Linked DNA regions of Lonchura striata. Each later gene encodes a partner of the first gene's protein in a complex. Links are inferred from orthologs where the notes say so. Each region holds a gene or a part of one and is shown on either strand. Other genes may lie near its edges.

Region 1 (3,904 bases):
CACTCCCTTCAGGGCTCATGTCCTTGTGCCTTGACTCAGAGCAGACCTAGCTGCCTGCTCAGCTCCTTCCCACGACAGGGAAATGCCAGTCCTAATGCCATGTCCAGGGAGGGCAATGGAAGCACAAGGAGCTCTCCTGTACCCAGGCAGGAACAGCATGCAATCCAAACCCTGCCACCTTTTCTGTGGCACATTCCCTGCTCTGGAGAACAGGTGTGGCAAGAAACAAAGCTGCCTTTACATCTGTGGCACCAGTCAGAGCTACAGCAGCCCTGAGACTTTGGGGATTCCCATCCAGGCCTCGCTGGGCGATGCATGGTCCAAGGGACAGCAGGAACAGGCAAAGGGAGGCAGCTGTGCCTGCACCAGCAACAGGCCACACACTGCACTTCCCAAACTTTTGGCAGGCCCAGGAGGAGTCAGAGCCTGTCTGCTCTTGGGGGAAAAAAATCCCCCTCAGCACCTCAAAGCAGGAACACGTTTAGCAGAGAATTCAAATCCACTTCCCTCCCCCCCGACTTAAACCTGCTGCCTTCCCCAAGGAGAGGGCAAAGCCCAGCGGGCTCCGGCACGCAAGAGGAGCTGTGGGAGAGGGAGGTGCAGGGCTCCAGCCGGCTCAGGACCCGGGACAGCGGTGCGGGGCTAGGGACCGGCCGTTTTCCCGTCCGAGCCCGAGCCTCGTGCCCGGAACCGCCGCCGCACGACCCCACCGGCCCCGCACCCGGCAGAGGAACGGCATGGGGGACAGCGGCGGCAACCGCCCCACCGCGTCCCGCGGCCGGACCCCGCCGGGGGCTGAGCCCTGCAGGCCTGCATCCTTCTCGGGGTGCAGCGAGAGCACCGCGGCACCGAATGGCAGGCACCGGGCCCTTGGGGAGCGCGCTTGTGCAGCGGGGCTCTGCTGACAGCAGCTGCCCGCGGGGACCCGAGCCCGGCCAGGAAAGAGGGTGGGAGGTCCTGAGGACGCGGCGGGGACGGGACGGGACCGGGACCTCTCGCCCACCCCTCCGCTGCCCCGAGGCTGCTGCCCCGCGCGCCTCCGCCCCCGCCCGCCGCGGCGGCGCCGCCATCTTGCGCGGAACAGCGGCGCCGGTGCCGGCGGGAGGCACGGACTCACCGCGGCGGCGGGCAGCGAGGGGCGGCAGCGGCAGGGCTGAAGCGGCGGCGAGCGGGCCCCCTCCGAGTCCGAATCGCTGAGGAGGACCACATTGTTCTCCATCCCGGCGGCGGGCGGCGGCTCCGCTCTGCCGGCGGGGCCGCGGGAGCGGCGGAAGCGGCGGGAGCGGCGGGAGCGGCGGAAGTGGCGTCAGGCGGGGCGGCGGTGCCGGCGGCGGCGGCCCCGCCATGGCGCTGTCGCCCTACGTGCAGGCCATGCAGGAGCTGTTCCGCGCCAACACGCGGAGCCGCGAGTTCCCGGCGCACGGCGCCAAGGTGCACTCGGTGGCCTGGAGCTGCTGCGGCCGCCGCCTCGCCTCCGGCTCCTTCGACAAGACCGCCAGCGTCTTCCTGCTGGAGAAGGACCGGCTGGTGAGACCCGCCGGGCGGGGCGGTGCGGATCGGTACCGGGAGCCCCTGGGCACCCCGCGTGCGGCTGCTTGGGCGGGGTCCGGAAGCGGGAGGATGCCCCGGTGGTCGGTACCGGGCCTGGGGGTGGGTACTCGGTGTGCACCGGAGCAGGGGCATCGCCAAGGACAGCGCAGGCCGGGTGTGCGAGCCCGGAACGGAGCCGGTGCCCCGCGGCGTTCTCCGTCCTGCCGGCCGGGGCGCGGCTCCTGGTCTATCCCAGCGCGCTGCATCCCCGCTGGATGCAGGAGTGGGAGCAGAGCCAGGCACACACCCTCGCGTCATCCGCCCTCTCCCGCCAGGTGAAGGAGAACAACTACCGGGGCCACGGGGACAGCGTGGATCAGCTCTGCTGGCACCCCAGCAACCCTGACCTGTTTGTCACAGCGTCAGGGGACAAAACCATCCGCATCTGGGATGTCCGCACCACCAAGTGCATCGCCACTGTCAACACCAAAGGTGAGTCCCTGCCCTCCCGGGGCGCCTTCCCAGCTGGGTCCCGGCAGGATCTCAGCTGTGAGGGACCCGTCTGCAGTGGCACAGAGCTTTGAACCTTTCCTGTAGTTATTTCTGGTTGGGACATCTTTGCTAACTGCTTTATATTTGTGTTACGCTCATCATGTGAGAGCTGATTTACCGTGGGGTCAGGACTGTTAGAACTGCTGAAATATCGTGCTAGCTGTTAAAATGTCCTTTGTACTTGTCTCTGGAACGAGTGGACTGTGAGGCTGGAGACTGGGGAAAAGTATGTTTACAGAGAGTCATGCTGGAAATAAAAAATTGTGTGGATTCAGAAAAACTATTTGAATTCATGTGATGCTTTACCCAAATACCATCTCTGCTCTTGGAAATGTCCAGTTTGAGTTGTTTGGGCTGGGAATGATATCGTAAGGTTGTGTAATAGCAACCTGCCATGTTCTTTTGTATATTCAAAGGTATTTATTTTTGGCCTCTTCTTTTTCTGGATCTCAGAGATTACTGGATTCAGAGGATCATCGGTGTAACCTTGTGTAGTGGTTGCTGTGGTCCCATCTTGGCTGAAATGGGATGTGGCATATCATTTTCAAGTTGTACTTCTCACAAGTTTGGTTTTGCTGGATAGCTGCTGTGCAGGGTTTGTGTGTTACACTGAACAACTGGTAGTCTTTCCCATTTGGGAATGGTTTGGAGTGGTAGTGGGACGTGCTGCCTTTTTGTCCTTTCAGGTGAGAACATCAACATCTGCTGGAGCCCTGATGGACAGACTATTGCTGTGGGGAACAAGGATGATGTGGTCACCTTTATTGATGCCAAGACACATCGCTCCAAAGCTGAGGAACAGTTCAAGTTTGAGGTGAACGAGATTTCCTGGAACAACGATAACAACATGTTCTTCCTCACCAATGGCAATGGCTGCATCAACATCCTCAGGCAGGTGCCCGTGGCTGCTGGTGGACCGGGTGGCTGGGCTGGCTGCAGTCATTTGCAAGTGCCTTTGCTGCTTTTGGGAAACCTGAGCCCCACGTCCCAGCAATCCCCTGCCCTCTGGTGGGAATGAGCTTGCCTGGAGCTGAGGTTGCCACAGCTGTGGGCTAGGCTCAGCTCCCTGAAATGGTCCCTGAGGCTTTGCCTCATTCACTGGACACTCAGTGTCTCCTGCCTCGGCAGGGTTTGCTTCCAGTCCTGGTGTGCCTCATGCCTGCCCTGCTCTAGGGAATCCCTGTGCTTCTCTCACTGCTCCCTACCCTCTCCCTTCACCTCCACAGCTACCCAGAGCTGAAACCCATCCAGTCCATCAACGCCCATCCTTCCAACTGCATCTGCATCAAGTTCGATCCCATGGGGAAGTACTTTGCCACAGGCAGTGCTGATGCATTGGTCAGCCTCTGGGATGTGGACGAGCTAGTGTGTGTGAGGTGCTTCTCCAGGTAGGTAGAGCTGTCCCAAAATTGATTTCCCCTCTCTCTGGGGACTGTGGTGGCAGTGCCTCACCGTCTGCTCCCCTCGTTTGCTGCAGGCTCGACTGGCCCGTGCGGACGTTGAGCTTTAGCCACGATGGGAAGATGCTGGCCTCAGCATCAGAAGATCACTTCATTGACATTGCCGAGGTGGAGACAGGTAATGGTTTTATTTTGGGGAACTGCAAGGAGGGAATTGGATAGAGAAGTGCTGGTAGAGCTGGAAGGACACAGGAAGAATCCATCTGCTAAGGAAGAGCTTTCCTGTGCAGAGCAGAACGCCATAAGGGGGAGCCTCTGCCTCAGCAATCTGTGGCAGACATGCCTGTCATGTCTGTACCTTGTCACTGGGTGACTGAAAGGCGCTGGAGCAGCGTTTGTGCTGCCTTCCCCTTTGCTGAGGG
Region 2 (3,904 bases), on another chromosome or scaffold:
CCGGTTAGTGCGGGAGATGCGGTTTGGAGCGACGGGGAAGCGGCCGCTGCCGTCATGGAGGTTGCCCGCAACCATCATGGCGGGCACGACATCCATCATGGCGGCCGCCACGCCCAAAAGAGAAGCTCATTTGAATAATTTGAATTAATTGAATTATTTGAGTTATTTTAATGATAACAAGAGGGGGTTGTGGCTCAGGAGCTGCGGGAAGCGGAGGCTGTGCTGGAGATTGGAAGTGTTTTTAATGAGAAATAGAAAGATATGCAGTAGTACTAAATAAAGTTATTAATAAATTAAGTGATAATAATTTATTAATAAGGGAATAAAGCAGCAGCCCTTGGGAGCAGCGACTGGAGAAGGGAAAGGAGTGGGAAACGCAGGAATGTTTTGGAAAATGGCCCCAAATTTGTGCTCTGCACCGCTGGGTGAAGCACAAATGAATGAATTATAATGAATGAATTTATAACAAAGATTTAATGCAAAGCATTTAATGCACATAAACGGTAACTAAATAACGCAAATATATGCAAATTTTCGGTAATAATTAAACAACAATGAAATTAAATCATAACAAAGGCTATATTTTAATAGATAAAAGTACTGCAAAGAACATAGCAACACTCTAAGCAATAAACACAAAATAACCAGAGGTAGTAAATAATAAATATCTAATGTTATCCAGGAAGGTTAATAGTTTAATGAAGGGAGATAATTTTTAATAATTAATTATACCCCAGTCCCTCAATGACCCCGCTCCGCTCCTGGCCCCACCTCCCGGAAGTCCGCGTTTCCCGCCCTCTCTTCCCATTGGCTGTCTCTCAGCACATCCCTATTTCCATTGGTTGATCCGCACGTCAGTCAACATATCCCCGCCTCTATTCCCCGATAAGCCAATCACCGGCGGGCGCTGCCGGCAGCGCTGACCAATGGCGAGCGGCGGATTTGGGCGGGGCAGCGGGGGACGCGCGGCGCTGATTGGTGGGAGCGGCGGGAGGGGCGGGGCGGGCGCGGGGGTGCCAAGATGGCGGCGGAGCCGGTGGAGCTGCACAAGCTGAAGGTGCCGCTGGGAGAGGGAACGGAGCCGGGAAAACCGCGGGGAGAGAACGGGGACAGAACCCGGCAACCGCCACAGCCCGCGGGGGCAGCGCGGGGACTGCGGCTGGGACGGAGGGAGCGCGCGGGGGAACGGCGGGAAAAGGGCCGGAAACTCGGAGGGGTCCTGAGGGAGCTCTGGGGGGCTCTGAGGGTCTTGAGGGGGCTCTGAGGGAGTTCTGATGGAGTTCTGAGGGTCTGAGGGGCTCTGAGAGTCTGAGGGGGTTCTGAAGGAGCTCTGGGGGGCTCTGAGGGTCTGAGGGGCTCTGAGAGTCTGAGGGGGTTCTGAAGGAGCTCTGGGGGGCTCTGAGGGTCTTGAGGGAGCTCTGAGGGGCTCTGAGGGAGTTCTGAGGGGTTCTAATGGAGTTCTGAGGGGCTCTGAGAGTCTGAGGGGTTCTGAGGGTCTGAGGGGTTCTGAGGGAGCTCTGAGGGGTTCTGAGGGAGTTCTGATGGAGTTCTGAGGGGTTCTGAGGGACTCTGAGGGTCTGAGGGCTCTGAGGGAGTTTTGAGGGTCTGAGGGGTTCTGATGGAGTTTTGATGGAGTTCTGAGGGGGCTCTGAGGGGTTCTGAGGGAGTTCTGAGGGAGCTATGAGGGTCTGAGGCGGCTCTGAGGGGTCTGAGGGGTTCTGATGGAGTTCTGAGGGGCTCTGAGAGTCTGAAGGGCTCTGAGGGGGGTCTGAGGGAGCTATGAGGGTCTGAGTGGGTTCTGAGTGGTTCTGAGAGGTTCTGAGGGGGGTCTGAGGGGTTCTGATGAAGTTCTGATGGAGTTCTGAGGGAGTTCTGAGGGGGCTCTGAGGGAGCTTTGAGGGGTCTGAGGGGGTTCTGAGGGGCTCTGATGGAGTTCTGAGGGGGTTCTGAGGGGGTTCTGAGGGAGTTCTGAGGGGTCTGAGTGGGTTCTGAGTGGTTCTGAGAGGTTCTGAGGGGTTCTGATGGAGTTCTGAGGGGTTTTGAGGGTCTGAGTGGCTCCGAGGAGGCTCTGAGGGGGTTCTGAGGGTCTGAGGGGCTCTGAGGGGGTTCTGAGGGGGTTCTGAGGGTCTGAGGGGCTCTGAGGGGGTTCTGAGGGGGTTCTGGGGCTCTGAGGAGGCTCTGAGGGGGTTCTGAGGGTCTGAGGGGCTCTGGGGCTCTGAGGAGGCTCTGAGGGGACTCGGAGTGTCTGAGGGGCTCTGGGGGGTCTCGAGGGGGCTCTGAGGGAAGCGGGAATGGAACCGGGACCGAGGGGAGCGGGGCAGGGCTCCGGGGGAACCGGGAATGGGGGAGAACTGGGAATGGGGGAAAACCGGGAATGGGAGAGAACTGGGAATGGGAGAACTGGGAATGGGAGAACCGGGAATGGGAGAGAACTGGGAATGGGAGAACTGGGAATGGGAGAGAACTGGGAATGGGAGAGAACCGGGACTGGGGGAACCGGGACTGGGAGAGAACTGGGAATGGGGGAACCGGGAATGGGAGAGAACCGGGAATGGGGGAGAACCGGGAATGGGGGAGAACTGGGAATGGGGGAACCGGGAATGGGAGAGAACCGGGAATGGGAGAGAACCGGGAATGGGGGAGAACTGGGAATGGGAGAGAACTGGGAATGGGAGAACCGGGACTGGGGGAACCGGGAATGGGAGAACTGGGAATGGGGGAGAACCGGGACTGGGAGAGAACTGGGAATGGGGGAACCGGGAATGGGAGAACCGGGAATGGGAGAGAACCAGGAATGGGAGAGAACCGGGAATGGGAGAGAACCGGGACTGGGGGAGAACCGGGAATGGGGGAACCGGGAATGGGAGAGAACCGGGACTCAACCCCGATTCCCTCTCATTCTCATTCCCAGGTTTTTCTCGCTCATTCCTGAATTCCTTCTCATTCCCATCCTGTTTTTCTCTCTCATTCCTGGGTTTTCTCCACTCATTCCCAAATTCCTCTCTCATTCCCATTCCCGGATTCCCTCTCATTCCCAAATTCTTCTCTCATTCCCATTTCCGGATTCCCTCTCGTTCCTGAATTCCTTTCCCATTCCCATTCCTGGATTCTGTCACAGTCCAGGTTTTTCCCGCTCATTCCTGAATTCCCTCTCATTCCCACTCCTGATTTTCCCTCTCATTCCTGGGTTTTCCCCGCTCATTCCCAAATTCCTCTCTCATTCCCATTCCCGAATTCCCTCTCATTCCTGATTTTCCCTCTCATTCCTGGGTTTTCCCCGCTCATTCCCAAATTCCTCTCTCATTCCCATTCCCGAATTCCCTCTCATTCCTGGATTTCCCTCCCATTCCCAAATCCCCTCTCATTCCCGAATTCCTCTCTCATTCCCATGCCTGGGTTTTCCCCTCTCATTCCCAGGTTTTTCCCATTCCCGGTTTCCCCCCTCATTCCGGGTTTCCCCCCTCATTCCCGGTTTTCCCCCCTCATTCCGGGTTTTCCCCCCTCATTCCCGGTTTCCCCCCTCATTCCCGGTTTCCCCCCTCATTTCCGGTTTCCCCCCTCATTCCCAGGTTTTTCCCATTCCCAGTTTCCCCCCTCATTTCCGGTTTCCCCCCTCATTCCCGGTTTCCCCCCTCATTCCCGGTTTCCCCCCTCATTCCAGTTTTCCCCCTCATTCCGGGTTTCCCCCCTCATTCCCGGTTTCCCCCCTCATTCCGGGTTTTCCCCCCTCATTCCAGTTTTCCCCCTCATTCCGGGTTTCCCCCCTCATTCCCGGTTTCCCCCCTCATTCCCAGGTTTTTCCCATTCCCGGTTTCCCCCCCCATTCCCGGTTTCCCCCCTCATTCCCGGTTTCCCCCCTCATTCCCGGTTTCCCCCCTCATTCCCGGTTTCCCCCCTCATTCCC

Evidence for each region.
Region 2: THOC3 (region 1) and SARNP share a complex: the UniProt entries of both Homo sapiens proteins name them as parts of the transcription/export (TREX) complex. The link is inferred for Lonchura striata from reciprocal best matches to the Homo sapiens genes THOC3 and SARNP.

The regions. Positions count from the first base shown.
Region 1 is NC_134617.1:3,495,349-3,499,252, forward strand, and holds the start of THOC3 (THO complex subunit 3), read left to right. Parts: upstream 1-1,331; 5' UTR 1,332-1,344; coding exon 1,345-1,527; intron 1,528-1,865; coding exon 1,866-2,022; intron 2,023-2,768; coding exon 2,769-2,973; intron 2,974-3,308; coding exon 3,309-3,470; intron 3,471-3,559; coding exon 3,560-3,660; intron 3,661-3,904. Other genes in the region: SIMC1 (SUMO-interacting motif-containing protein 1), read right to left, coding at 1,118-1,219. UniProt on the Homo sapiens protein: Component of the THO subcomplex of the TREX complex which is thought to couple mRNA transcription, processing and nuclear export, and which specifically associates with spliced mRNA and not with unspliced pre-mRNA.
Region 2 is NC_134629.1:9,289,977-9,293,880, reverse strand, and holds the start of SARNP (SAP domain-containing ribonucleoprotein), read left to right. Parts: upstream 1-992; 5' UTR 993-1,021; coding exon 1,022-1,057; intron 1,058-3,904. UniProt on the Homo sapiens protein: Binds both single-stranded and double-stranded DNA with higher affinity for the single-stranded form. Specifically binds to scaffold/matrix attachment region DNA. Also binds single-stranded RNA. Enhances RNA unwinding activity of DDX39A.